7 linked regions of the Callithrix jacchus genome follow. The protein of the gene in region 3 interacts with the protein of the main gene of each other region in a pairwise test. Links are inferred from orthologs where the notes say so. Each region holds a gene or a part of one and is shown on either strand. Other genes may lie near its edges. The genes, in order: ATP5PO, MOS, CCDC136, TXLNA, SHFL, JMY and PSMD9.

Evidence for each region.
Region 1: the proteins of CCDC136 (region 3) and ATP5PO interact in binary tests that used the Homo sapiens proteins (3 or more experiments, as listed by UniProt). The two-hybrid records come from large-scale screens. The link is inferred for Callithrix jacchus from reciprocal best matches to the Homo sapiens genes CCDC136 and ATP5PO.
Region 2: the proteins of CCDC136 (region 3) and MOS interact in binary tests that used the Homo sapiens proteins (3 or more experiments, as listed by UniProt). The two-hybrid records come from large-scale screens. The link is inferred for Callithrix jacchus from reciprocal best matches to the Homo sapiens genes CCDC136 and MOS.
Region 4: the proteins of CCDC136 (region 3) and TXLNA interact in binary tests that used the Homo sapiens proteins (3 or more experiments, as listed by UniProt). The two-hybrid records come from large-scale screens. The link is inferred for Callithrix jacchus from reciprocal best matches to the Homo sapiens genes CCDC136 and TXLNA.
Region 5: the proteins of CCDC136 (region 3) and SHFL interact in binary tests that used the Homo sapiens proteins (3 or more experiments, as listed by UniProt). The two-hybrid records come from large-scale screens. The link is inferred for Callithrix jacchus from reciprocal best matches to the Homo sapiens genes CCDC136 and SHFL.
Region 6: the proteins of CCDC136 (region 3) and JMY interact in binary tests that used the Homo sapiens proteins (3 or more experiments, as listed by UniProt). The two-hybrid records come from large-scale screens. The link is inferred for Callithrix jacchus from reciprocal best matches to the Homo sapiens genes CCDC136 and JMY.
Region 7: the proteins of CCDC136 (region 3) and PSMD9 interact in binary tests that used the Homo sapiens proteins (3 or more experiments, as listed by UniProt). The two-hybrid records come from large-scale screens. The link is inferred for Callithrix jacchus from reciprocal best matches to the Homo sapiens genes CCDC136 and PSMD9.

The regions. Positions count from the first base shown.
Region 1 is NC_133522.1:39,981,383-39,984,882, forward strand, and holds part of ATP5PO (ATP synthase peripheral stalk subunit OSCP, mitochondrial), read right to left. Parts: coding exon 3,374-3,500; intron 1,709-3,373; coding exon 1,596-1,708; intron 1-1,595. UniProt on the Homo sapiens protein: Subunit OSCP, of the mitochondrial membrane ATP synthase complex (F(1)F(0) ATP synthase or Complex V) that produces ATP from ADP in the presence of a proton gradient across the membrane which is generated by electron transport complexes of the respiratory chain.
Region 2 is NC_133517.1:12,478,820-12,481,703, reverse strand, and holds MOS (proto-oncogene serine/threonine-protein kinase mos), read left to right. Parts: upstream 1-1,287; 5' UTR 1,288-1,295; coding exon 1,296-2,336; 3' UTR 2,337-2,384; downstream 2,385-2,884.
Region 3 is NC_133512.1:118,390,240-118,394,234, reverse strand, and holds the start of CCDC136 (coiled-coil domain-containing protein 136), read left to right. Parts: upstream 1-1,195; 5' UTR 1,196-1,236; coding exon 1,237-1,294; exon of another isoform or gene 1,295-1,437; coding exon of another isoform or gene 1,438-1,523; exon of another isoform or gene 1,524-1,646; intron 1,647-2,094; coding exon 2,095-2,202; intron 2,203-2,308; exon of another isoform or gene 2,309-2,454; intron 2,455-3,995. UniProt on the Homo sapiens protein: May play a role in acrosome formation in spermatogenesis and in fertilization.
Region 4 is NC_133508.1:68,785,030-68,789,214, reverse strand, and holds the start of TXLNA (alpha-taxilin), read right to left. Parts: upstream 2,801-4,185; 5' UTR 2,734-2,800; intron 2,199-2,733; 5' UTR 2,167-2,198; coding exon 1,998-2,166; intron 926-1,997; coding exon 599-925; intron 1-598. UniProt on the Homo sapiens protein: May be involved in intracellular vesicle traffic and potentially in calcium-dependent exocytosis in neuroendocrine cells.
Region 5 is NC_133523.1:9,283,112-9,287,277, reverse strand, and holds the end of SHFL (shiftless antiviral inhibitor of ribosomal frameshifting protein), read right to left. Parts: intron 4,129-4,166; coding exon 3,979-4,128; intron 2,501-3,978; coding exon 2,397-2,500; intron 2,275-2,396; coding exon 2,120-2,274; intron 1,702-2,119; coding exon 1,466-1,701; 3' UTR 1,180-1,465; coding exon of another isoform or gene 989-1,179; 3' UTR 501-988; downstream 1-500. Other genes in the region: ANGPTL6 (angiopoietin-related protein 6), read left to right, coding at 1-60, 134-404, 989-1,179.
Region 6 is NC_133503.1:131,680,389-131,683,888, reverse strand, and holds part of JMY (junction-mediating and -regulatory protein), read left to right. Parts: intron 1-1,010; coding exon 1,011-1,176; intron 1,177-1,537; coding exon 1,538-1,725; intron 1,726-3,500. UniProt on the Homo sapiens protein: Acts both as a nuclear p53/TP53-cofactor and a cytoplasmic regulator of actin dynamics depending on conditions. In nucleus, acts as a cofactor that increases p53/TP53 response via its interaction with p300/EP300.
Region 7 is NC_133510.1:125,101,993-125,105,492, reverse strand, and holds part of PSMD9 (26S proteasome non-ATPase regulatory subunit 9), read right to left. Parts: intron 2,830-3,500; coding exon 2,618-2,829; intron 1-2,617. UniProt on the Homo sapiens protein: Acts as a chaperone during the assembly of the 26S proteasome, specifically of the base subcomplex of the PA700/19S regulatory complex (RC).

The sequences.
Region 1 (3,500 bases), on a different chromosome or scaffold from region 3:
TCTAAGAGGCCTGTGTTCAAATTCTGGTCCCACCTCGTAATGACCTTGGGTAAGTGACTTCATTTTCCTGCGTTCGGTTTCCTCATTTGTAAAATCAGGATAATTACACTTCTATCTCACATGAATCTTTTGATAGTGTATAAAATAATGAAGAACTCGGCAGAGAGTAGCGTTCAATAAATGGTAGCCCATTATACCCCACTCTATCAAGTCAAAAAGATACAAAGGCCCATCTGCTCTACTCCTTCCCATTTGCCACCACAAAAGAGGAAAGATTAGTAACTCTAGTTTCAGGCTGGGTTACACCTCTACTTCCAGCACTTTAGGTGGCCAAGACAGGTGGATCACTTGAGCCCAGAAGTTTGAGACAAGCCTGACGAACACGGTAAAACCCCACCTCTACAAAAATAGAAAACAATTAGCTGGGTGTGGTGGGGGTGTACCTGTAATCCCAGCTACTCAGGAGACTGAGGCAGGAGGATTACCTGAGCCCAGGAGGTTGAGGCTGCAGTGAGGTGTGACAAAGTGAGACTCTGTCTCAAAAAAATAAACTCAGGCTGGGTGCAGTGGCTCACGCCTATAATCCCAGCACTTTGGAAGGCGAAGGCAGGCAGATCGCCTGAGGTCAGGAGTTTGAAACCAGCCAGGCCAACATGATGAAACCGTCTCTACTGAAAATATAAAAATTGGCTGGGTGTGTTGGCTCACACCTGTAATCCCAGCACTTTGGGAGGCCGAGATCACGAGGTCAGGAGATTGAGACCATCCTGGCCAACATGGTGAAACCCCATCTCTACTAAAATACAAAAATTAGCTGGGTGTGGTGGCGCGTGCCTATAATCTCAGCTATTTGGGAGGCTAAGGCAGAAGAATTGCTTGTACCCAGGAGGCGGAAGGCGCAGTGAGCCGAGATCACAGCACTGCACTCCAGACTGTGACAGAGCAAGACAGAAAAGAAAGAAAGAAAGAAAAAAAAAAAGAAAGAAAGAAAAAGAAGAAAGAAAGAAAGAAAGAGAGAAAATTAGCTGGGTATGGTGGCACGCATCTGTAATTCCAGTTTTTCAGGAGACTGAGGCAGGAGACTTGATTTAACCTGGGAGGCAGAGGCTGCAGTGAGCTGAGATCACGCCATTGCACTCCAGCCTGGGTGACAGAGTGAGACTCTGTCTCAAAAAAAAAAAAATTAGCCGGGTTTGGAGGTGGGCACCTGCAATCCCAGCTACTCGGTAGGCTGAGGCAGGAGAACTACCTGAACCCAGGAGGCAGAGGTTTCAGTGAGCCAAGATTGTGCCATTGCACTTTCAGTAAACTACTTCAAGTGGTAGTTCTAAACCACCCTTTTCTCACACATTTTGATGTTCTTTCCATTTCACCCAGGCCTTATGAATAATCACCGGTTACAGAAGCACTAATAAGATGTATGCTGATGTTTCCAAAGCAAAGGGTCACAGAAGCTGATATAAAAATGAAGGAAACATCCCAGCTGACAAGTTACTTTTTCCAATTTCTTGATTTTACCTTGTTTTTTCCCTTTTCTGCAAAAGGCGACATATGTAACATCAAGGCCAAGACAGCAGCAACAACCCGTTACTTACAGATGCGGTGGTCACTGTGCAGGGAACCTCTCCGCGGTGGACACTCATCATGGTAGAAAAGGCAGAAACAACTCCTTGGGTATTGCTTAAGCGACCATTTTCAGCAAGCAAATCTGGTGAAGTGAAGGTGTTTCAGTAACATGAAACTCACTTGAACAAGTTATTCATGAAGCTGTATACTTAACCCAAAACACAAACTTAGATTTCTGGCTTTAAAACACCATATTGAGTGGCGCATGCCTATAATCCCAACTACTGGAGGCTGAGGTGTGAGGATTGCTTGAGGCCATGAGTTCAAGACCAGCCAACATAGTGAGACCCTGTCTCTATAAAAAACATTAGGGCTTGGTGGTACGTATCTATAGCCCCAGCTACTCAGGAAGCTGAGGCAGGAAGATTGCTTGAGCCCAGCAGTTGAAGGCTGCAGTGGGCTATAATTGTGCCACTGCACCACAGCCTGGGTGACAGAGTAAGATCTTGTCTCTTAAAAGTCACAGTATATTCAATGTCCTTTAAGAATGTGAATAGAGGCTGAGTGTAGTGGCTCATGCCTGTAATCCCAGCACTTTGGGAGCCTGAGGTGGGCAGATTTCTTGAGTCCAGGAGTTTTAGACCAGCCTGGGTAACACGGTGAAACCCTGTCTCTACAAAAAGACCCACAAATATTAGGTGGGCGTGGTGGTGCATGCCTATAGTCCCAGCTACTCAGGAGGCTGAGGCAGAAGGAGCACTTAAGCCCAGCAGGCAGAGGTTGCAGTGAGGCGAGACTGTCCCACTGCACTCTAGCCTGGGTGACAAGAGAGGGACATCCAGTCTAAAGTTAAAAAAAAAAAAAGAATGAATGGAGAAGATACAACTTGTTATTTAAAATGCATATCCAATTTTATTTTTTTAATAGACCATACTGACAAGGATTCAAATTAGTAAGTATGGGGAGTTCTCACCCATACGAATCTGCAACAGACTTCTTATACTCAGCTTGCAATCTGATTTTCATTTTAGGTTATAGCTTATAATGTTGGCTACGAATTCAAAGATGATAACATGAATATACTTTCTTTGGAACTTTTGAGCTGGCTATGAGGATCTGAGAAGCGACCCCAGCCGCGGAGCGGCTCACGCCTGTAATCCCAGCACTTTGGGAAGCCAAGGCAGGCAGATGACTTGAGCCCAGGAGTTCAAGACCAGGCTGGGTGACATGGAGAAACCTCATCGCTACAAAAAATAAAAAAAATTAGCTGGACGTGGTGGTGTGTGCTATATTCCCAGCTACTAGGGAGGCTGAGGTGGGAGGATGGCTTGAGCCTGGGAGACTGAGGCTACACTGAGCTGAGATTGTGCCACTGCACTCCAGCCTGAGTGACAAAGACTATGTCTTAAAAATGAAAAAGAAAAAAAGGAAAAAGAAAACGAAAAGCAGTCCAAACGTATCTGAGAATGCAAATGTCTCTAAGGATCAAGGTACAGCCACAGGCCACAAACCTGTGGCTTTCTTGGTAGGTATTACATTGGCCACCTCCATGGCTGAAACCACTGACTATTCAGTTAGACACACTTAGGTCCTAGTATCCTTTAGACAGTGCCCCTCACACTTAAATGTGCAAACAATTCACGTAGGGAGCTGGTTAAGATGCAGACTCCGATTCAGCAGGTTGCTGTGAGGCCTGAGATGCCTCACTGCCAACAGGCTCCCAAGTGATGCTGATGCCCACGGGCCATGGACCACATTTCCAATCACAGTTTGAAGACACCTCAAATGAAAAAGTTCTCATACTCACTGATCAGGTTCGTCGTGAGGGGAGAGAACCTCTCTTTTGCTATGATGTCACTTAGGCTTTTCACTTTAATGGAATGCTTCACATAGGGATTCAAAACAGAAGCAGCCACTTTGGGTTCCTTCAGGAT
Region 2 (2,884 bases), on a different chromosome or scaffold from region 3:
GAAAATTACTTTTTTTTCTTAGAGTCAGGGTCTTGCTCTGTCATCCAAGCTAGTGTGCAGTGGCACAATCATAGCTCACTTCAACCTCAAACTCCTCATGCCCCAGCCTTCAAAGCAGCCAGGGCTACAGGAGTGCACCACTACCCCCAGCTAACTTTATAATTGTTTGTAGAGGCAGATCTTGAATTCCTGGCCTCAGGTGGTCCCTCCACCCCAGCCTCCCAAAGCACTGGGGTTACAGGCATGACTCACTGTGCTTGGTAGAAAATTAATTTTCATTATGAAAATCAGAAAGGAAGAACTTATTGATGGCCAGAACCCTGAATTTCATTTCAACTTCCGGTTTTCTACATTATATGTAGGTACCAGTGATTTTATGCCACTTTTTTCTTTCAGATTTTTCCTCTTCTACAATTCTCCCATATGTGTTATTATTTGAAGCCCTGATCACAGTTCTGAATTATTTCTGTTCTTTTTTCTCCCCTAATGCTGCTTTAAAACTTCTGTAACTCATTTGCTAGAAAGTCTAGAATCTCTCTTGCAAATAAGCTGACCGGGTGGGCCAAATCGCCTTGGAAGGGAAGGATTGTTAGGAAGTCAGTATGTTGCTAAGACATCTTGCTAATTTGCTGTGTACGCCCATAGAGCGTCAGGGAAGTCTCCTTTCCACTGATGAATTCAGGTGTGTGTTACGACCTGTATCAGCGATTCTGTTTGGATTGATTAAGGCTGCAATTTTTTATCCACATGAATGTTGCACCTAGTTTTCCCCCGTAATTGGTTAAACAAATGTCTGCTGTTTGTATTTCAACTCTCAGCCAATAACTGCTGGAAGTGATTTAATGCAGCTGGAGAACAACACTGACAAACATTACGGCCTGCGAAGTGTGAAACAATTTCATTGTGCTTTGTGATCTCTTTGGTCTGAGGACTGATCATGTGCAGCGGATGAGACCTGAAAAAAACTTGTTTTATTACAGTTAAAGAAATAATGTAAAAGTGGGGTGAGTTCTGGGGCAGCTCTGTGCTGTTTATCTGGAGAGAGCTTGTTTTTACAAGAATTCACTTCAAGTGTGGAAGGGAAATGCTTTCATCTGAAAGGGATTGCTATGCTTCATTCTGGTTTCTCCCTCCATCTGATAAAAACCCTTGCTGAGTGACAGCACAGATGTAGCTCATTTGGAGCAAATGAAGGAAAAGGAGAAAAAGGCTAGGGGTGGAGCTTCCAAAGTCCCGCGGTTTTTTCTGGTCTTTTCATTCACCCCAGCGGCCCTGGTGTCCCCCTAGAAAGTGCGATGCCCTCGCCCCTGGCCCTACGCCCCTACCTCCCGAGCGAGTTTTCCTCGTCGGTGGACGCGCGGCCCTGCAGCAGCCCCTCCGAGCTCCCTGCGAAGCTGCTTCTGGGGGCGACTCCTCCTCGGGCCCCGCGGCTGCCCCGCCGGCTGGCCTGGTGCTCCATTGACTGGGAGCAGGTGTGCTTGCTGCAGAGGCTGGGAGCCGGAGGGTTTGGCTCGGTGTACAAGGCTACTTACCACGGTGTTCCTGTGGCCATAAAGCAAGTGAACAAGTGCAGCAAGAACCGACTAGCATCCCGGCGGAGTTTCTGGGCCGAGCTCAACGTGGCAAGACTGAGCCACGACAACATCGTGCGCGTGGTGGCTGCCAGCACGCGCACGCCCGCGGGCTCCGACAGTCTAGGGACCATCATCATGGAGTTCGGTGGCAACGTCACTTTACACCAAGTCATCTACGGCGCCGCCGGCCACCCTGAGGGAGACGCAGGGGAGCCCCACTTGCGCACTGGAGGAGAGTTAAGTTTGGGAAAGTGTCTCAAGTACTCCCTAGATGTCCTGAACGGGCTGCTCTTCCTCCACTCGCAAAGCATTGTGCACTTGGACCTGAAGCCCGCGAACATCTTGATCAGTGAGCAGGATGTCTGTAAAATTAGTGACTTCGGTTGCTCTGCGAAGCTGGAAGAGCTGCTGTGCTTCCAGACACCCCTCTACCCCCTAGGAGGCACATACACCCACCGCGCCCCGGAGCTCCTGAAAGGAGAGGGCGTGACCCCCAAAGCCGACATTTATTCTTTTGCCATAACTCTCTGGCAAATGACTACCAAGGAGGCGCCCTATTCAGGGGAGCGGCAGCACATACTGTACGCGGTGGTGGCCTACGACCTGCGCCCGTCCCTCTCCGCTGCGGTCTTTGCGGACTCGCTCCCGGGACAGCGCCTTGGGGACGTCATCCAGCGCTGCTGGAGACCCAGCGCTGCGCAGAGGCCAAGCGCGCGGCTGCTTTTGGTGGATCTTACTTCTTTGAAAGCTGAATTCGGCTGACTGAAAACCTGGGTCAAGATAAGCTTTTGTCTATTTGTTGTTGTTGTTGTTTTTTTAAAGGAAGTGGAGATATCGAAGAAAACATATTTGTAGGATACAGTTTTAGAGAATAAAGTTACTAAAAATTTTAGTCTCCAGTGCTTTTTCTGAGACACATAGTTCCAATTCTCGTACCTGTTGTCTCAGTACTGTTAGTAACTAACCTTATTAATTCATATCGTTATATTCTTTGCCTTTCATAGGTAGTATTGCATTTATTCAAATTTATTATTGATAAAACAGTTTGTCCAACACAGAACTCTACTGCAGAAATGTAAACATTTTCTATAAATCCACACATATTCCATGCCTACCACATAAATTCCAACTATTAACTATGTACTTGCTCCCACACCAAATCAGTAAAAGCTTTTTAAAAATAAGTAATGCTTTCCTATTACTCTCCCCAGTAAAACTTGTTTGTAATGACCTTCACACATAGAAGCCATAAACTGAGATATATTTACATTCAAAGGAATTATAAATGACCTAATGTAATATTTTTGTGC
Region 3 (3,995 bases):
TAAAAATGGGCAACCCACCATTCTTTATTATTTTACTTTCCTAATAAACTTGCTTTCACTTTATTCTATGGACTCGCCCTGAATTCTCGATTGCTCGAGATCCAGGAACCCTCTCTCTCTGTCGGGATCCGGACCCCTTTCTGGCAGCTGGGGGAACGCAGACAATCCTAGCCCTCGACCTGGGAATGGATGTGCAAGAGAGGGGATCCGCGTGTGTCCCCGGCTTAGGAATCTCCCAGACGTTTCCTGGATGTTCTGGGAAGCCCCTGTTCCCAACTGTACCCACTTTGATCCTTGCTGAGACCTGCCGGGGTGTGAGAACTGCCTCTTAGAGAGCCGGCACCCACCCAGCAGGCATTCCTTGAATAAAGCAATGGTTAAGACGCGAAATAAGCCGCCTGGGCTTCCAAATCTCACTTCCAGAGAATGACCATCAGTCGTGCCCACTTCGAGTGGGCGACAGTGGGGGCGTGGCTCGCAGCCCACCAGGTGTGGGACCGGAAGGGAAGGCAGAACGGAGGAGGGGGGGGTCTTCGGGCCCTGAGGCTTGGTGGGGCCATCGGAGGGCCCCTCCTAAGAGGGTCTCTGGCCCTGGCTGGGGGGAGGAGGGTGCGCGGAAAGCGGAGAGGTCAGGGCCCTGCGTTAGCCCATCTCTCCGGCCCCCAAGCTGCCAAGGGGCCCCCGGGCGGGGCTGGGAGGGACCTGAGGCCGGAGTCCGCGCCGGCTGCCAGGTGGGGGCGCCGGCCGGGTGGGGGAGGAAGGGGCGCACGTGTCCGCGCGTTTGGAGGAAACAGTCCCACCTTGCCCTTTGCCGTCCCCATTGCTGAGCATGACCGGGCCCTGACACCTGGTGCGGAAGGTCCCCGCGTACAGCAGACCCCGCGGGACCCGCCGCCAGAACCAGGAGATCTCACCCCTCCCTCTTGGGACAGCCTGAAGCCTGAGAGCTCCCGACGCTGTCCCGGCCCGGCGGCCCCCGGCGCTCCCTCGGGGAGAGCCTTGGGAGGTATCTGGGGTCGCGCTCACCCTCCCGCGCCGCCCCAGCACCCACTCGGAGCTCCTGGGTGCTGGGAGGGCTTCCGGGCGGCGGCGGGCAGCGGGGGGCGGTGTCAGGAGGCCCGGCCAGGCCCCGCCCCCTCGCCCGCCCTCCCTCCTCCCTGCGCACCCGGCTCCCGGTCCCCGGGCTCGCGGCTGCGGCTTCTGCTCTGGGAAGCTGCCGCGGCGGCGGGAGCGGTCATGGAGGCGGGCGCCGGAACCAGCGCGGGAGCCGCGGGCTGGAGCTGCCAGGGCCCAGGTCAGAGCCGCCCGTCCCTCACCTCTCCACCGCCCCTCCTTTCTTTCCTCCATCCCTCCTCCCTCCAGACCCCCAGGTGCTCCCGGACTCCGCGGCTCCCTCTTCTCCGCCCGAAGCCTTCCTCCCTCCATCCTGGCCTCCACCTGGGCCCGGTCTCCATCTTTCCGGCCTGGGGCTGGGGCTTCTGCGCACCGGCCGCATCCTGCCTGTAGGTCCCTCCCCAGCTCATCTCTCCACTCAAGCCCGACGGTGCTTCCAGTACTCGGGGCTCCAGACCCCGCACCCCCTGCAGCCCCGGAGGCTCCAGAGCGCTGGGCGAGGGTGGGGTGGGCGAGGTCCAGTAAGAGAATACGAGGGGAGGGGAGGGGAGGGGAGCGGCCGCAGCCCTATCCCTTCACGCACGCCCCCCACTCCTCCCTCCCTCCCTCCCTCTCTCCCTCTCTCCCTCTCTTTGTAGGCCGCCTCACCCTTTCAGCCTCTTTTCACTGGCTCCCGCCCTCTTTCAGTCTTTCCTCTCTCCTCCCTGTCCCCCGGGGCTAAATACACACACCCCCTCTTTCTGTCTGTGCAAGCAAGGGGGGCCTGGAACCAGGAGTGTCTGAGGCGGTTGGGCGGCAGGGCTGGGGTCCCCGCAGGCAGAGCGTGAGACGTAGCCGAGAGAGGGGAGACGTAGAGCCGGCAGAGTGAGTCAGGCACCTCCACTGGGATTCCAGATCCCAGGGCTCCGAGGGGCTGGAAGCCATGCCTCCCTCTTTCCTCTGCACCCCAGCCCTCAGCACCTCCTTTCGCCCTGCTCTCAGGACCCACAGTGACCACTCTAGGCTCCTATGAGGCTTCGGAGGGCTGTGAGAGGAAGAAGGGCCAACGCTGGGGGTCCCTGGAACGACGGGGGATGCAAGCTATGGAGGGTGAGTTTTCCCAAAAGGCTTCTTTCTTCCCCTTCCCCTCCTCCGTTAATCCCCTTCCCTCTCTTCCCTTTGACCCTCAGGCCTCTGAGCCAGGACACAGCCCTACCTTCAGTTCGTCTTAGCCCCTCCTCCTGCAACTCAGAGCTCCAGCCCTTCCCAGGGTTCAGACTTCGACAGAAGTTCAGAGTGCACCCCTTTGGGACCCCAATCACTCAGCTAACCAGGTTGTGTGTCCCGAGGGAGCTGCCAGACAGAGAGAGGCCTTGTTGGACAGAGCTTTGAAGCAGCTTTTCAGCAGGGGGTTTGTTCTCACTGCCTGCCGACCCAGATCCCAAGCTGTCTCTTCTTTCAAAAAGCAAGGAAGTGGGCATGTGAATTGTCTTTCTGGGGCCACCACCATTAACTTCGAATGGAAGCCTGTGGCTTTGGTTCTCTCGGATACCTTACTGCCTGAAAGAGAAAGCCTAGGAGGGGGCGAGTGAGGCCATCCTCCCAATACACGTGTGTCCCCACCACACCCATGTGACTTGGCAGTTGCTGCCAACACCAGGCCCCTGGAAGGACGCTGGTCCATTTTCCAGGACTTCCTGTGAAGTGTGGCACGTTGCACATTCAGTATAGGGAAACCTGCTCCCCCTAAGGGGGGCAGATGGCACGAGGGGTCCCACATGAACCTAAGGCTGCTGATATTAGAGAAAGTAAGACCAGAGATTCAGAATTTTAAAACAAAGCAAACAATCACCATTCAGACAACATTTTGCTATTTATAGGAACTGCATTGCAGTAAAGGAGGGGGTGCTCGCAACCAGAGGCTGGGGGCCAGCACCAAACCCCAGTTCTTTAATGCATTAGAATGGCAGCGTTTCTTTTATGCACAGGTACAGGCTAAGACTTCCCCTGAAAACTGCTTTGTGGTCAGCAGAGCAGGAGGGGCCTCCTCAGCTAGGGGAGAGGAGACCTGTGACAGCCAACAGGGAAAAACGAGGTGGACCTTCTAGAAAATTTGAAACAGGTATTTGATGATTTCAAAGGGCTCCAGAGTTTGTCCGATGAAACCTCTACAATCAGATATTTCCTTTCCCTACCTGCCGATGGGCAATGCTTTCTTATCATGGAAAGGCTGATTTTTCACAAGCCACCTGGATATTTTTTGGTTGGGTTTTTTTTGTTTGTTTGTTTTTTGAGACACAGTCTCACTCTGTTGCCCAGGCTGGAGTGCAGTGGCTTGATCTTGCCTCACTGCAACCTCCACCTCCACTTTCCAGGTTCAAGCAATTCTCCTGCCTCAGCCTCCCAAGTAACTGGCATTACAGGCACCCACCACCACGCCCAGCTAATTTTTTTTAGTAGAGACGTTTCACCATGTTGGCTAGGCTGGTTTGGAACTTCTGACCTCAAGTGATCCACCTGCCTCAGCCTCCCAAAGTGCTAGGATTACAGGCATGAGCCACAGCGCCCAGCCAGTTTTTTTGTTTTGTTTTGTTTTCTAGAAATCTCCAAACTGCAACTGTTACCTCATTTGACCTAAAGATCCGCTCACTGTCTCCTTTCTTGATTACTTGTTCCACTGCTCAGAGGGTAGCCTAGAAGCAGATAATCCTGTGCAAGTGTCTCATGGCTGAGCAGGCACCAGCCTGCCCACAGGCAGTGGTAGGAGGCTATCAAGTGAACATTGGTCCAGGAAAGGCCTGGGAGGTGGAGGGGCTGCCTCTCAACTTGACCCTCACACCTGATGACTCATCTTGAATACAGGTCTTGACTAGGGGCTCCTTGGGGAACACAAGGTGGCACCA
Region 4 (4,185 bases), on a different chromosome or scaffold from region 3:
TGTTTGGCTCCTACCATTTTAGCTGCTAACTATGAAAAAATCTAGAGATCTAGATTTCTGGCTTTTCTTAAAAAAAAAAAAAAAAAAAAAAAAAAAGGCTGGCTGCTGCCTAGTTAAGAGCAACTAACTAAATAGCAATAAAGCCTTTGGCTAAAGTAGGCTCTATCTTCATGGAGCCCCATAGGCAGCCCAGCTTATGTAGACATTTGGGTTTCCAACTCTGGGCTAGTCTGATTTTCTTACTGTAAACAGAAGTAGAAACTAGGACCCAGAGAGGAGAAGGGGCACACCCAAGGTCACAAGGCAGGTAGTACTGGCTGGCACAGGAGGCTACCCGGACCTCCTGCTCTCCATTGTCTCAAAGAGCAGGTCACACATCAACCTCCCGTTGCTCCAAAAGCCAGAAGACCTTGTGCTGGAAACCCCTGCATCTTTCTATGTGTGACTCCCACATCCCTGGCTTTGATTAGACTAGGGTGACTTGCTGCTCTGAGAAGTACCATTTCCTCTGAATCCTGGCAGAACAGACTTGCCCAGAGAACATCAAGTCCAAATTCCCTCCCCTCACCAGCTGCACAAAGAGCCACTCTCTGCTCACCCAAACCCTTGGCTTTTTTCTTCTCCTGTGGCCTTCGGTGGTCTCGGTCTCCCACATCATCACTCGGCCGGATCTCTTCTGTGCCTGGCTCCCCCTTGGAGGGTACCTTTTCTCCATTGACTACTGGAGATGGCTCAGGCTCCCCATTCCTTGCCACATAGGTCCGGGACTTCTCTGCATCTTCCGGCTCACCCTGTGCCCCATCCTCGCCTGGGCCCCCCTGGTTATTGTCCACACAGTATGTGCTCAGTATGTCTTCCAATTGGCGGCTCAGCTCCTCAGAGACATCACGGAGGGCCCCAGATTGAGCTGTTTTGGCTTGTGCCCCTAAAGCAGGAAAGAATGAGAAAGAAGACAGCAAATCTAGTTCCTGTCAGAATTTAGATTCAAAACTTTTTTTTTTTTTTTCCAGATGGAGTCTCACTCTGTCACCCAGGCTGGAGTGCAATGATGCAATCTCAGTTCACTGCAACCTCTGCCTCCCAGGTTCAAGCGATTCTCCTGACTCAGTCTCCCGAGTAGCTGAGATTATAGGCATGCACTACCACACCTAGCTAATTGTTGTATTTTTAGTAGAGACAGGGTTTCTCCAACATGGAGGTCAGGCTGGTCTCAAACTCCTGACCTCAGGTGATTCACCTGCCTTGGCCTCCCAAAGTGCTGGGATTACAGGCGTGAGCCACCATGTCCAGCCTCGAAACATCTTTTAAAAGAAATTATAGTCATCGTTGCTTAACTTTTTTTTTTTTTAAGATGAGGTTTCACCGTATAGGTCATGCTGGTCTTGAGCTCCTGACCTCAGGTGAACTGCCCGTCTCAGCCTCCCAAAGTGTTAGGATTACAGGTGTGAGCCACTGTGCCCGGCAACTTTTTTTTTTTTCTTGCCAGACTCAGGTAATGGATGCTCAACCTCTTTAAGTCTATTTACTTGTAAAATGACACAACTATTTCTTACTATCACCCGAACATGTTGGTTACAAACATAAAAGTATGTAAAGCATCAGCACACAGGGCTGGCATGAAGCAACTTCTAGTCCATCTCCTTCCCCCCTCACCAACCACTTCTTGCCATTCAGATTGTTCTAGAAATGCCTCAATCCAGGAAGGGCAGTTAGCTGTTGGTGGCTGAGGTGTTTCTAACAGGACCTGGATTTCCTGACTGGGTGCCTCGTTTGGCTGCCACCTGACTTAATCCTGTCAGAGCTTCTCTCCAGAGAAGAGAACTCTGTTCCTGTGCTCACCAACTCGCCAGGGCGCCGGAAGGACCGCGGCCCCAGCACTGCCCTCTCATTCTACATCTCCTCCTCTGCACAACCTGGCCTCGGCCTCTAAATCCAGAAGTGAGGCCAGGCGCACAGCTCCTCCCCCTGCCCGCTGGCAATGCAGAGCTGGCACACACCCTCCGGCTTCCGAGGAGCCTGCCCGCTGCCGGGACCTTCAGCTTCTGCCGCAGGAGCCGCCTGGCTGGGCCGCTCCTGGGTTCCCTCGGGTACCGCTTCCGGTTGTCCCGGGCTGCTTTTTGGGTTGGATTGTTTGGCAGCCCCGTTCTTTTTGTCTTGGTTCTTCATTGTGATGAGCGATGCTGGGTCAGAAGGAGATCCTTTAGAAACAAACACAGTTGCAATTTTTCAGACTTCGAAATTCTTCGCAGTCTGGATCAGAAATCCCCACAGCAGGCGCCCAAAGCTTCTTAAACGGACCGGCCGGCCCCGGCGGAGGGCGCCAACGGCTCTCCGGTCTTGGCGGGTCAGGGGAGCCCGGTGTGCCGTAGCAGGCTTTCGCAGCGCAACGGAAGAGGAAAGAGGCCTCTTTTTCTTCTCGGAGCCACTTCCCAGCACAACCAACCCCCTCACGGCAGGCCGAGAGCGGGATTGGCTCGGGGCCGGAGACTGACGTGGCGGGGCGCAGGAGTCGCGGCGCCGCCCCCGCCCCTCAGGACCCACGTGCGCCCCCCGCGCGCGCAGCCACCCACGCCCCGCGCGCCCTCCAGCCGCGAGGCACGCCCGCGCATGCGCACACGCCCTAGACAGCCCCCCGGCCCACGCGCGGAGTCGCCGTGATTTCCCCACAGGCCGAGAACATCCCGGCCCGTACACCCTCCGATTGTCTCTCCCACCGGTCGCCGCGGCACGCACCTCACAACCGACGTCCGACGGCTTCTCCAGCTCTGGCCTCCACCGGAAACCCCGAGTAACCACTGCCGGCGAGCAGCCTGCACCCGCCGCAGCCAATCAATAGCCGGCGCCGGCGCGGAGCTTGCTGGGAAGGACGAAGCGAGGGCGGCCTTGGAGGCGGGCGGGACCTGAGGGCGGGGCAGCGAAAGGACTACGCGTCCCTCTGTGCGCTGGGGCTGGCAGCAGCTCCCAAAGTGCAGACGGGGCAGTAGTTCTGGGAGTCCAAAAAGAGCCCGTCATTCCGCGCAAATGCCCAGGTCAACCTTGTTTCTATCTCGCAGAAGTTATGCCTCAGCTCCTAAAGCCTTGCGCCTAGCATTGTTTCCTGCAGGCCTCCGTCAAGCCTTCTTCCCTGGCCTTGAACAAATGTGACTCCATCCAGGAATTCCGACGAATCGGGAAGAGGGATAGAGTCCTGGGATGAGGCCCAGGAGACCCCTACTCCAGTCCCAGCTTCATCATGGATTTGCTGTGGCTCCCTGGGCCTTAATGTCCTTCTTCCCAAGGAGGTGTTTAATAACAATAATTTCCTTGAGCGCTTACTGTGTGCTTTCCGGTATCTAATAGCTTCATTCTCATAAGCACTCATTGAAGTAAGTACTGTTAGCGCCATTTTACGGAAAAGGACAGTAAAGAGAAAGGCTGGGTAACTTCTCCAAGGTTACATCGATAGTGAGTGGTTAAAACGGATTCAGAATTGTTAACTCTGACACCAGCACCCAGGTAACTTCTCGGCTTCCCTTTTTCTTTTTTTTTGAGACGGAGTTTCACTCTTGTTACCCAGGCTGGAGTGCAATGGCGCGATCTCGGTTCACCGCAACCTCCGCCTTCTAGGTTCAAGCAATTCTCCTGCCTCAGCCTCCCGAGTAGCTGGGACAACAGGCGCGCCCCACCATGCCCAGCTAATTTTTGTATTTTTAGTAGAGACGGGGTTTCACCATGTTGACCAGGATGGTCTCGATCTCTTGACCTCGTGATCCACCCGCCTTGACCTCCCAAAGTGCTGGGTTTATAGGCGTGAGCCACCACTCCCGGCCTACCTTGTCTTTTACCCAGAAGAAACACCACCACAGCAGGTTTTCCAGAGGCAGTCAAGGTAACTTGTGAACATAGGTCATATTTTCCCCTCTCCTTTACCATTTGGCAGTCAATTCCTCAGGAAGGTGCTGAGTTAAGGCTTCAGGCATATTCTAGAGCCTTTTCTCTGACTGCCCCACTGTCTACTAAAGTCTCACTGGGTTTAAAGTAGAAAAAAAACACAATTCTCTACACGTGAGATCAGAAATTCTGTATCCCCGTTGCCTCTGGATAATGAAATCAAACCCAACAATCTTTGTGCCTGGAATTTGAAGCATAAGAGGTTTGGCTTTTGTCAAACTTAAAATCTTTTGAGGCCCAGTTCAAAGGTCACTG
Region 5 (4,166 bases), on a different chromosome or scaffold from region 3:
GTGATCCAGCGGAGGCAGGATGGTTCGGTCAACTTCTTCACTACCTGGCAGCACTACAAGGTGGGCACAGGCGGGCAGAGGCAGGGCAGGGGAGGGAGCCTCTTCTGGCCTCCTGACTTTCCTGCCCTTCCAGGTGGGCTTTGGTCAGCCAGATGGAGAATACTGGCTGGGCCTTGAACCTGTGTATCAGCTGACCAGCCGTGAAGACCATGAGCTGCTGGTGCTCCTGGAGGACTGGGGAGGCCGTAGAGCACGTGCCCACTATGATGGCTTCTCCCTGGAACCCGAGAGTGACCACTACCGCCTGCGGCTTGGCCAATACCATGGTGATGCTGGAGATTCTCTTTCTTGGCATCACGACAAGCCCTTCAGCACCATGGATAGGGATCGAGACTCCTATTCTGGTAAGGAGAACTCTTATTCTGGTGGGAGGATAGGGGAGACGGGACTCCTGTTTTGGTGTGGGAATAAAAGGAGATGGGATAGGTAAGACGCCCCTCTTTAAGTATTAAGATAAGCAAGCTTTTATTCTGTCAAGAGAACAAGGGACAGTACTTTTATTCTGGTGAGGGGACAGGGAGCCTACATTCCTTCTCTGATGAGGCAAAAAAAAAAAAAAGGAATCAAGACTCCTGTTTGGGTGAAGGGCAGAGGGTGAAGGCTAGTACTCTTATTCTAGAAAGGAAGTAGATAATTACTTTCTTTTATTTGATAAAGGAATAAGCAGTAGACTCCTAGTTTGCAGAGAAGGTGGGAAAGATGTGACTTGTACTTTGGTAAGGAGATAGGGAAGGAATTAAGGCTATTACTCTGAAGAAAATCGGGGAGCCAGGGCTCCTATTTTGCTGAGGAGATGGAAGATCAGGGCTTGTATTGAATAAGAATAGGAGGGGCCAGGGGATGCCTGGCAAAAGCCTTACACTGTGAGGTGCAGATAGAGGCTTTTATTCTGATAAGGGGACATGGACTCTCTCTCTCTCTCCCCTAGGTAACTGTGCCCTGTACCAGCGGGGAGGCTGGTGGTACCATGCCTGCGCCCACTCCAACCTCAATGGTGTGTGGCACCGTGGTGGCCACTACCGAAGCCGCTACCAGGATGGTGTCTACTGGGCTGAGTTTCATGGCGGGGCATACTCTCTCAGGAAGGCCACCATGCTCATCCGGCCCCTGAGGCTGTGACTCTGTTCCTCTGTCCCCTAGGCCCCAGGGGACATTGGTCAGCAGGAGCCCAAGTTGTCCTGGCCACACTTTCTTTGTGGCTCAGTGCCAATGGGTCCCACGGAACTTCCCCTCCGTGGATCTGTGACCCTGGGTGCTGCAAATGGGACCCAGGAATCCCCCCCTGCCAATATCTCGGCCCCAGATGGCTCCCCAAGGTCATTCATATCTCGGTTTGAGCTCGTATCTTATAATAACACAAAGTAGCCACAGACCGTGTCTGGTTTGTGTCTGCACCTGGCAGGGGTCACTCCCTGGGCCTGCCCTCCTCTTCCTCCACCTCCTCCTCCTCCTCCTCCTCCTCCTCTTTCAGGTCCTCCAGGATGAGGTTGTCCAGGTCTTCCAGGAGGCCCCCCTGGCTCAAGCAGGTGGCCACAGTGGAGCCACTGCTGATGTGAGGGTTGCTGGGGTGGAGCACTTTGGGCAGGTGGTTCTGCTTCCGGCTCTTGGGGTGAGCACAGGACGTCCCAGGCACGTGGGGCTCTAGGGAGGGAAAGGTGTTGCTGGCATGGGGTTTGAGGTCCTGGGAGAGTCTGAGGAGGAGGGGGCTGAGGCCATTCGGGGCTATAGGGAGGAGCTGAGGCCACAAGATACGGGGAACAGAGTGACCAGACATTCAGAGGTGTTGAAGATACAGGAGACCCAGGGACATGGGGAGTCACCTGAGACTACAGGGGACAAAACAGGGGCCCCAAACCCAGAGACCATGGGGGCAGAGGCCATAGGGACCCTCAGGTATGGACCCTCAGAGCCTCGTGGGCAAGAGCACGGAGACTGGGGGGCCACCTAGAAGCAGTGGCTGCTGCCGTGGGAGATGAAGTGGACTGAATGGAGATTTGGGGACTTAAAGGGACAGAAGGGGATGAAGACTGCCCAGGCTGTTAGGGGAGAAGAGCCTCACCTCGACGGTTGTAGCAGTCAGCAGCTGAGCAGGAGTGAGTGTGGGTGCTGCGGCGATCCGTGTCCCGGTCCCAGCGCGGGGGGAGGATCCGTGTTGGATACACGGGGAAGCCGCACCCGTAGCAGGGAGACGGGGACCCCATCTGTGCCCAGCCCCTGGGGGCGGGCAGGGCTGTGAGGGTCCGAGGGCGAGGCTGGGCCAGGGTGGGGCCAGGGCAGGGAGGGGCAGGGCTGGGGTGGGGTAGGGCTGAAGGGGAGCTGGGGGTCAGCGCCCTCACCGGAAGTTGTGCCGACACTTCGGGCAGTGGAACTCAGCCAGGCCCCACATCTTGTCGGCTGGCACTGGCTCGTAGCGCTTCCGGCATTTCCGGCACCGGGATACCTGGTGGTGGTGGGGAGGCGGGTGTGGAGAGGGGACCAAGGGTTGTTAGAGGGTCAGGGGTAACTGTGCTGCATCGGCTGGCCTGAGCTTGACCAAGGCAACTCAATCAGCGACTTTATATCCATAGCTTGATATTGACCATGGTGGGAATATTTACACCATGGAAATTGGCAAACACTACACATCTCGGCTTTCTGCCTCTTTTGCAAGACTTAAGCATTGAACAGAAGCAAACTACTGGTCAGGAGGTTCAGAGGCCAGATTCGGGGCCGTGTTTTTGAGGTCAAATTTGGTTTCTTTCTTTTTTTCTTTTTCCTTTTTTTTTTTTAAGAGACAGAGTCTTGCTCTGTCACCCAGGCTGGAATGCAGTGTTCTGATCATGGCTCACTGCAGTCTCAACCTCCCAGGCTCAAACAAGCCTCACACCTCAGCCTCCTGAGGAGTTGGGACCACAGGCACACACCACCACTCCCAGCTAATTAAAAATTTTTTTTGCCAGGTGCAGTGGCTCATGCCTGTAATCTTAGCACTTTGGGAGACTGAGGCAGTAGACTGCTTGAGCCCAGGAGTTTGAGACCACTTGGGCAACATGGCAAAACCCCATCTCCACACACACACATACAAATATAAAAATTAGCCAAGTATGATGGTGCAGGCCTGCAGTCCCAGCTACTTGGGAGGCTGAGGTGGGAGGATCACCTGAGCCCAGGAGGTGGAGGCTGCAGTGAGCTATGATCACACTGCTGTACTCCAGCCTGGGTGACAGAGTGAGACTCCATCTCTTAAAATTTTTTTTTTTCTTTTCTCGCCCTGTCACCCAGGCTGGAGTGTAGTGGTGCAATCTCGGCTCACTGCAACCTTCGCCTCCCAGGTTTAAGCTCTTCTTCTGCCTCAGCCTTCTGAGTATCTGGGATTACAGGTGCCCACCACCAGGCTTGGTTACTTTTTGTATGTTTTAGTAGAGACAGGGTTTCACCATCTTGAACAGGCGGGTCTTGAACTCCCGACCTCATGATCCACCCACCTTGGCCTCCCAAAGTGCTGGGATTACAGGTGTGAGCCACGGCACCTGGCCCAAAAAATTTTTCTTTGGAGACAAGGTCTTGCTCTATCACCCAGGCTGGTCTCCAACTCCTGGGTTCAAGCAGTCCTCCCTGCTTAGCCTCCTAAAGCACTGAGATTGCAGCCACGAGCCACTGCACCTGGTCAAGGTTGATTTCTGTAGTAGCTGTTCAACTGTGGGGTCAGGGGTCAGGCTTTGGGGTAAGGGGTTATTGGGCTTCTCACGTTGAAGGTCAGAAGTCCAGTCCTGGGCCAGGGGTTGGGATCAGAGATCAGGGCTGCGCTCTGAGTTTGGAGGTCAGAGATTGGGCTCTCAGTGATTGAAGCCCATTAGGTCAGAGGTACAGTCACTGAGGATGGGAGTTGGGAGTGGAGTTCAGGACAGTCAAAGTCAAGGTTAAGTTGTGGGTCATCACCTCCTTCCGCTGGGGCACGCGGCGCCACCAGACGTGGTCGCAGGAGGAGCAGGCGAACTGCCGGTCCACAGCGGGGATAAGGTCGTCCTGGGCCCGTTGAAACATGCGTAGGTTGGCTTCTGTCAGCGGCAGGAGGGAGGTCGCCACTGCCTGTGGAATGGGGCAGGAATGGGGCAGGTGGGGATGAG
Region 6 (3,500 bases), on a different chromosome or scaffold from region 3:
TTTCAGATTCCTGGCAAAAATTTTCCCACTCCAGGACCAAGAACTAACCAACCAAACAAACCACGGAAGACTATCTACCACTTTATGAGCCATGCCCAGGCATTTCTGAATCTCACTTTAAGTTCAGCCTAGGACGTTGATTACATTTACCTAGAGAGATACCTTATGGATTACAAGGATTTCCATCTAAAGCAATTCTCTTCTGCTGTTCCACTCACATACTCTCACCTCACTATCCAGTCAACGGATCCCAGAACCTAGCCAGGCTGTGAACATAGAACAAAGCAAAACACCAGATACTTGGCATTAACTAGCTTTTACCATTCTTGTAAATATCTGAGAATGACCCAGTCATTTTCATATATCTCATGTGAAAAAAGCAACTACATAACTTAGCATCCACTTTTGAGAGTGAAAGGGGACATTATTAGCATTTATAACCAGACGATCAATATTACCATAAATAAGTATGACATAAACATTAAAACCTTATTTTTACCATGTTTGCCTACTTCCACAACCACATATGTCTTATTACTGCTACATATATGTATTTTTAAAGTCTAGATTCCATGCCCACAAGTTTCTTTCTGAAATCAGTTATTTCGTGGGTTTATGCTGTCTGATTAATACTAATTTTTTTTTTTTTTTTTGAGACAGAGTCTCACTCTGTCACCCAGGCTGGAGTGCAATGGTGGCTCACTGCAACCTCCACCTCCTGGCTTCAAGTGATTCCCCTGCCTCAGCCTCCTGAGTAGCTAGCACTACAGGCACGTGCTACCATGCCCAGCTAATTTTTTGTATTTTTAGTAGAAATGAGGTTTCACTGTGTTAACCAGGTTGGTATCAATTGCCTGACTTCGTGATCTGCCCACCTCAGCCCCCTAAAGTGCTAGGATTACAGGCATGAGCCCCTGCACCCAGCCTTAGTATTAATTTTTAATTCTAACTTGATTTTTTTTCATGTCCCCACCAGCTAGAAATATTTTAATTTGTATTTTCAAATGCAGATGCAGAGTTTGCAGGGTGGTACAGAAGCCATAGCCCGATTGGATCAGTTAGAAGCTGACTATTATGACCTGCAACTTCAGTTGTATGAAGTACAGTTTGAAATCTTGAAGTGTGAAGAGTTACTATTGACAGCACAACTAGAAAGCATCAAAAGACTTATATCAGGTATGGTATGCATTTAACTGCATAAGTTTACAAAAGATTGAATATGTGAGAAAATGCATATGGACACCAGATATGTTTCTTCTGTTAAGATGTTAAAAAAAATTGTTTTTTATAGGGATAGAGTTGGTGGGGGTGATGTCTAGCATTTATTGAACACTTGCTGTGTGCCAGATACTGCTAAACACTGTGCATACATTCATTCTATGAGGTGTATTAAATAATAATCACCATTTATAAAGAAGCTTGAGAGGTGATGGCTTTGCCTAAGATTACAGAGCTAGTAACCACATTAGAACCCTGTTCTTTCTGAACCCACAGTCCATATTCTTAACCAGTACTCTTTTTTGCTGTTCTATAACAGAAAAAAGAGATGAAGTGGTGTACTATGACACTTACGAAAGCATGGAGGCCATGCTGGAGAAGGAAGAAATGGCAGCGTCTGCATACTTACAGAGAGAAGAGCTGCAGAAACTTCAGCAGAAAGCACGCCAGCTGGAAGCAAGACGTGGACGGGTTTCTGCCAAGAAATCCTACCTCAGAAATAAAAAGGTATTTAAATATTGCTTTTGTTCATTGCTTAGTCTTTTATCCATATCTACTAATTTCATCTGTTTTGTCCTTAAAACTTGCCTGTGTTTTAAAAAACTAAGTAAGTGCTATCTCTTGTCAATGCTCGATATGTTTATAGTGCTTTGAGAATTGCCCTCTTAAACACACTGGAACAGCCAATAGTGATGTTCTCTTTACCTCCAGAAATACAGTGACTCTGCTAAAGGGCACGACTACAGGATCCCTGATAATGCGATTCCTGGCTCCCTTTTTATTTAAGGAAGCCCAGTAATGTGTTACAAGTTTTGCTTCTGACCTTAGTCTTAAAGGAATTTTATAGATATTTATTTATTTAACTTTTATTACATTTCAAAATGTTTGATTCTTGATATTTGGAATGATTCATTTTGTGGAAATGTGATTCTTCCTATGTCTTAGAAAATGTTTTGCACTGTAGTCCAGATATTAACTATTGTGGAGCTGTTTTAGTCACTGTAAGTGTGGAGTTGAAATCTGAAACTAGCTCAACAACCTAGACCAAACTGATGACTGTGTGGTACTGATTTACTTTAAGCTGAAGTATTATGAAAGTATGTCATGTTCTCTGAGAACCCACCTTCCTGCTCTTCACCACATTCCAAGGCTATGACTGCCTCGTTTTACAGAAAATCAAAGACCTTTGCTTTTTGAAATAGATAGTTCTTGCACATTAAAGAAACTCAGGCAGACATGTCTCCGCAGTAAGTCAAGAACCCAGGACCTTCTGTCACTTTGTCCATCAACAGAACAGTTACCTTGGCATCCAGAGCCATGACTTTCAAATAATTATGTGCCTTTGCTATTTCCCCATGATGGTAGTAATTGAAACCCACTGCTGTTTCAGCCCTGGTATGAGCTTCATTTCGTGTTCCAGTCTGCATCAACCAAGTAAACATTCAGGCCAGGCGTGGTGGCTCATGCCTGTAATCCCAGCACTTTGGGAGGCCGAGGTAGCTCCATCATCTGAGATCAGGAGTTTGAGACCAGCCTGGCCAACATGGTGAAACCCTGTCTCTACTATAAATACAAAAAATTAGCTGGGCGTGGTGGCACACGCCTATAATCTCAGCTACACGGGAGGCTGAGGCAAGAGAATCATTTGAACCTAGGAGTGGAAGTTGTAGTAAGCTGAGATGGTTCCTTGAACTCCAGCCTGGGCAACAAGAGTGAAATTCTGTCTCAAAAAAAAAAAAAAAGCCATTGCAGTGATTTCAGCAGGTCATATAGAACAGTTTTAGGGGAGAATGAAAAGTAAACAAGATTTCAGAAGAGCACACTTTTTAGAAATGTTAGGAGTATTTTATCTATTACTTTTAGGTGTATAATGCAGGACTTTTGAGACTAGTTGGAATTTGCAAGCCTGCAGGTTTTTGAAAATGCTGTGCAATTCAGACTTAATTGAAAGTCTGATTTCTTTCTTTCTTTTTTTCTTTTTTTGAGATGGAGTCTTGCTCTGTAGCCCAGGCTGGACTACAGTGGTGCAGTCTTGGCTCACTGCAGCCTCTACCTCCCAGGTTCTGGTTCAAGCAGTTCTCCTACCTCATCCTCCCAAGTAGCTGGGATTATAGGCACGAGCCACCATGCCCAGCTAATTTTTGTATTTTTTAGTAGAGACAGGTTTCACCATGTTGGCCAGTCTGGTCTTGAACGCCTGGCCCTGTGATCCGCCTGCCTCAGCCTCCCAAAGTGCTGGGATTACAGGCGTGAACCACTGCACCCAGACGTCTGATTTCAGT
Region 7 (3,500 bases), on a different chromosome or scaffold from region 3:
AAGGTCAGGAGTTCAAGACCAGCCTGGCCAACATAGTGAAACCCCATCTCTACTAAAAATATAAAAGTTAGCCAAGCATGGTGGCTCATGCCTGTAGTCCCAGCTACTTGGGAGGCTGAGGCAGGAGAATCGCTTGAACCCAGAAGGAGGAGGGTGCAGTGAGCCTAGATCACGCCACTGCACTTCAGCCTGGGCAACAGAGTGAGACTTTGTCTCAAAAAAAAAAAAAAAAATGTAGACAGGACATTTGCCCTAGAAGCCCCCACACAAGCAGCCACAGGCACAAGGCGGACCCAGGACTAGAGTGACGCTCTTGCTCTAGGTCCTAAGAACACAGACCATCACTCATTCACCTCTTTAACAAGTATTTGTTGTGGGCCAACCAGCACTGTGCTAGATGCTGTAGATGGGGTGGTGAAAGAAACAGAGCTTCTATGTAACTTACAGACTTGTGATCACTAAAGAAGACTGGCAGGACCCGGATTTAGGACCCCATTCTACCCGTCAGGAACTGACACAAGTCAGTTATGTGTCCATAGAGACAGAAAGTAGATAACTGGGAGTGGGGGAGTTGGGAGATTGGGAGGTGATGGCAAATCACTGCAGAGGACAATGACAATATTCTGAAATTGATTATGACTGGCCATGGTGGCTCATGCCTATAATCTCAGCACTTTGGGAGGCCAACGTGGGAGAATCACTTGAGTCCAGGAGGTCGAGACCAACATATGCAACATAGAAAAATCCCATCTCTCTCTCTCTCTTTTTTTTTTTTTTTGAGAGATCTTGGCTCACTGCAACCTCCACCTCCTGGGTTCAAGTGATTCTCCTGCCTCAGCCTCCTGAGTAGCTGGGATTACAGGCACGCGCCACTATGCCCAACTAATGTTTATTTTTTTAGTATAGACAGGGTTTTGCCTTGTTGACCAGGCTGGTCTCGAACTCCTGACATCAGGTGATCCTCCTACCTAGGCCTCCCAAAGTGCTGGGATTACAGGCATAAGCCACTGTGCCTGGCTGAAAAGTTTTTAAATAGAAATAAAATTGATTGTAGTGAGGATGCACAGCTCTGTGAATATGCTAAAAGACATTAGGCTATATACATACTTTAAATGGGCAAATTTTATGGTATGCTAATTATATCTCAATAAAGCTGTTAATTTTTTTTTGAGACAGCCTCACTCTGTTGCCTAGGCCAGAGTACAGTGGCATCTCAGCTCACAGCAACCTCCACCTTCAGGATTCAGCGAGTCTCCTGCCTCAGCCTCTTGAGTAGCTGGGATTACAGGTACCCACCACCATGCCCGGCTAATTTCCATACTTTTAGTAGAGACGGGATTTTGCCATGTTGGCCAGGTTGGTCTCAAACTCCTGACCTCAAGCAATCCACCCGCTTTGGCCTCCCAAAGTGTTGGGATTACAGGCATGAGCCACCACGCCCAGTCAAAAAAAAGTTTTTTTGTTTGTTTTTGTTTTTGTTTTTTTTGAGATGGAGTTTCACTCTTGTTACCCAGGCTGGAGTGCAATGGCACCTCGGCTCACCGCAACCTCCGCCTCCTGGGCTCAGGCAATTCCCCTGCCTCAGCCTCCTGAGTAGCTGGGATTACAGGCACACACCACCATGCCCAGCTAATTTTTTGTATTTTTAGTAGAGACAGGGTTTCACCATGTTGACCAGGATGGTCTCGATCTCTTGACCTCGTGATCCACCCACCTCGGCCTAAAAAAAAGTTTTTTTAAGACAAGGTCTCAGTCACCCAGGCTGGAATGCAGTGGTGCAGTCACAGCTCACTGCAACCTCAACTTCCAAATCCCAAGTGATTCTCCCATCTCAGCTTTCCAAGTAGCTGAGACCACAGGTGTATGCCACCACTCCCAGCTAAATTTTTTTTTAGAGTTAGGTCTTACTATGTTGCTCAGGCCAGTCTCAAACTCCTAAACTCAAGCAATCCACCTGCCTCAGCCTTCTCAAGTGCTGGGATTCCAGGCATGAGCCACTGTGCCCAGCCTAATTTTTTTTTAAACACACCAGGTAAGATGCATAACGCATTTGGCAGGATTTCATTTTCATTTTTATCATTCAGTGCCCAGCTAAAATGAACCCCAAGAAAAAATCCTCCTTCCCTCTCTTGGGACATTTATCATCTGTCACTGGGAACAGGTCACTCCCCCACCAATGCAGTTGGCAGCCGGGGCTGATCCCTCTCTAAAATTCTGTCACCCAGGCTGGACTAGAGTACATGCTCACTGCAACCTCTGCCTCCCAGGTTTAAGCGATTCTCGTGCCTCAGCCTCCTGAGTATCTGGGATTACAGGCACGTACCACCATGCCTGGCTACTTTTTTTTGTATTTTTAGTAGAGATGGGGTTTCACCATATTAGTCAGGCTGGTCTTGACCTCCTGACCTTGTGATACACCCACCTCTGCATACCAAAGTGCTGGGATTACAAGCATGAGCCACTGCACCCAGCTGGACAGTTTGTTAAATGAGTAATTGAACTCAGCACCACAGCACAGAAGGAGCTGGTCTGTCTTACAGAGTTTCCATACCCCCAAAGGCTACCTGACCCACAGTGTCCTCTGGGCATGGACTTGAGTGGCCAAGCCCTGGATTACCGCAATGCTGGCTGGGGAGCCGGGGCTGATGCTGTTCACTTTGGCGAAGGCCTGAGGAGGACCCTGGCTCTCACTCTGGCCCAGTTTGCGGTTCATGGCCTCTTTATGGGCCTCAGCCATGTCCCGGGCCTGCTTCTCCTTGTCGCGAGCATGCAGCTGGTGCAGAGCCTCTTCCACCTGCTTCATCACCGCCTTATGATCATTCTGCAGGCCTGGGAAAAGAATGACACGTCAGGGGCCAAGGAAGACGGCGGAGGACACAAGACTCACTGAAGAATTAACAAGTTCTTATTCAACACCAGATCTAGGGCTAGAGGCGAGGATGAATCCCTGATCAAGAAAGAGGACCTTCCCTCATGGAGCATTCAGTCCTGCAAAGAGCAGCTCCAGAATAAGTAATTACAATAACATCTGATGACTGCAGGGAGGCCTGGCCAGAAGCAGAGTCTGACTTCGCTAGTCTAGGAGATGAGGGAGGGCTTCCTGAAGGCAGTGCTGTCTCGGTGAGCCCTGAGAGGTAAGCATAAGGAAGGTAACGTCTGGCTGAATCCATAGCCATGAGTTCAAAGGCATACGTGGATCTGGCTTTGTAGTCATGTGAATGAATGACTTGGGGTGGGTGTAATCAAGATTTCACTTTTCGACCAGGCGCAGTGGCTCATGCCTGTAATCCCAGCACTTTGGGAGGCTGAGGCAGGTGGATCATAAAGTCAAGAGATCGAGACCATCCTAGCCAACATGGTGAAACCCCATCTCTACTAGAAATACAAAAATTAGCTGGGCATGGTGGCGTACACCTGTAGTCCCAGCTACTCAGGAAGCTGAGGCAGGACAATCGCTTGAACCCAGGAGGTGGAGGCTGCAGTGAGCCAGGATGGCACCA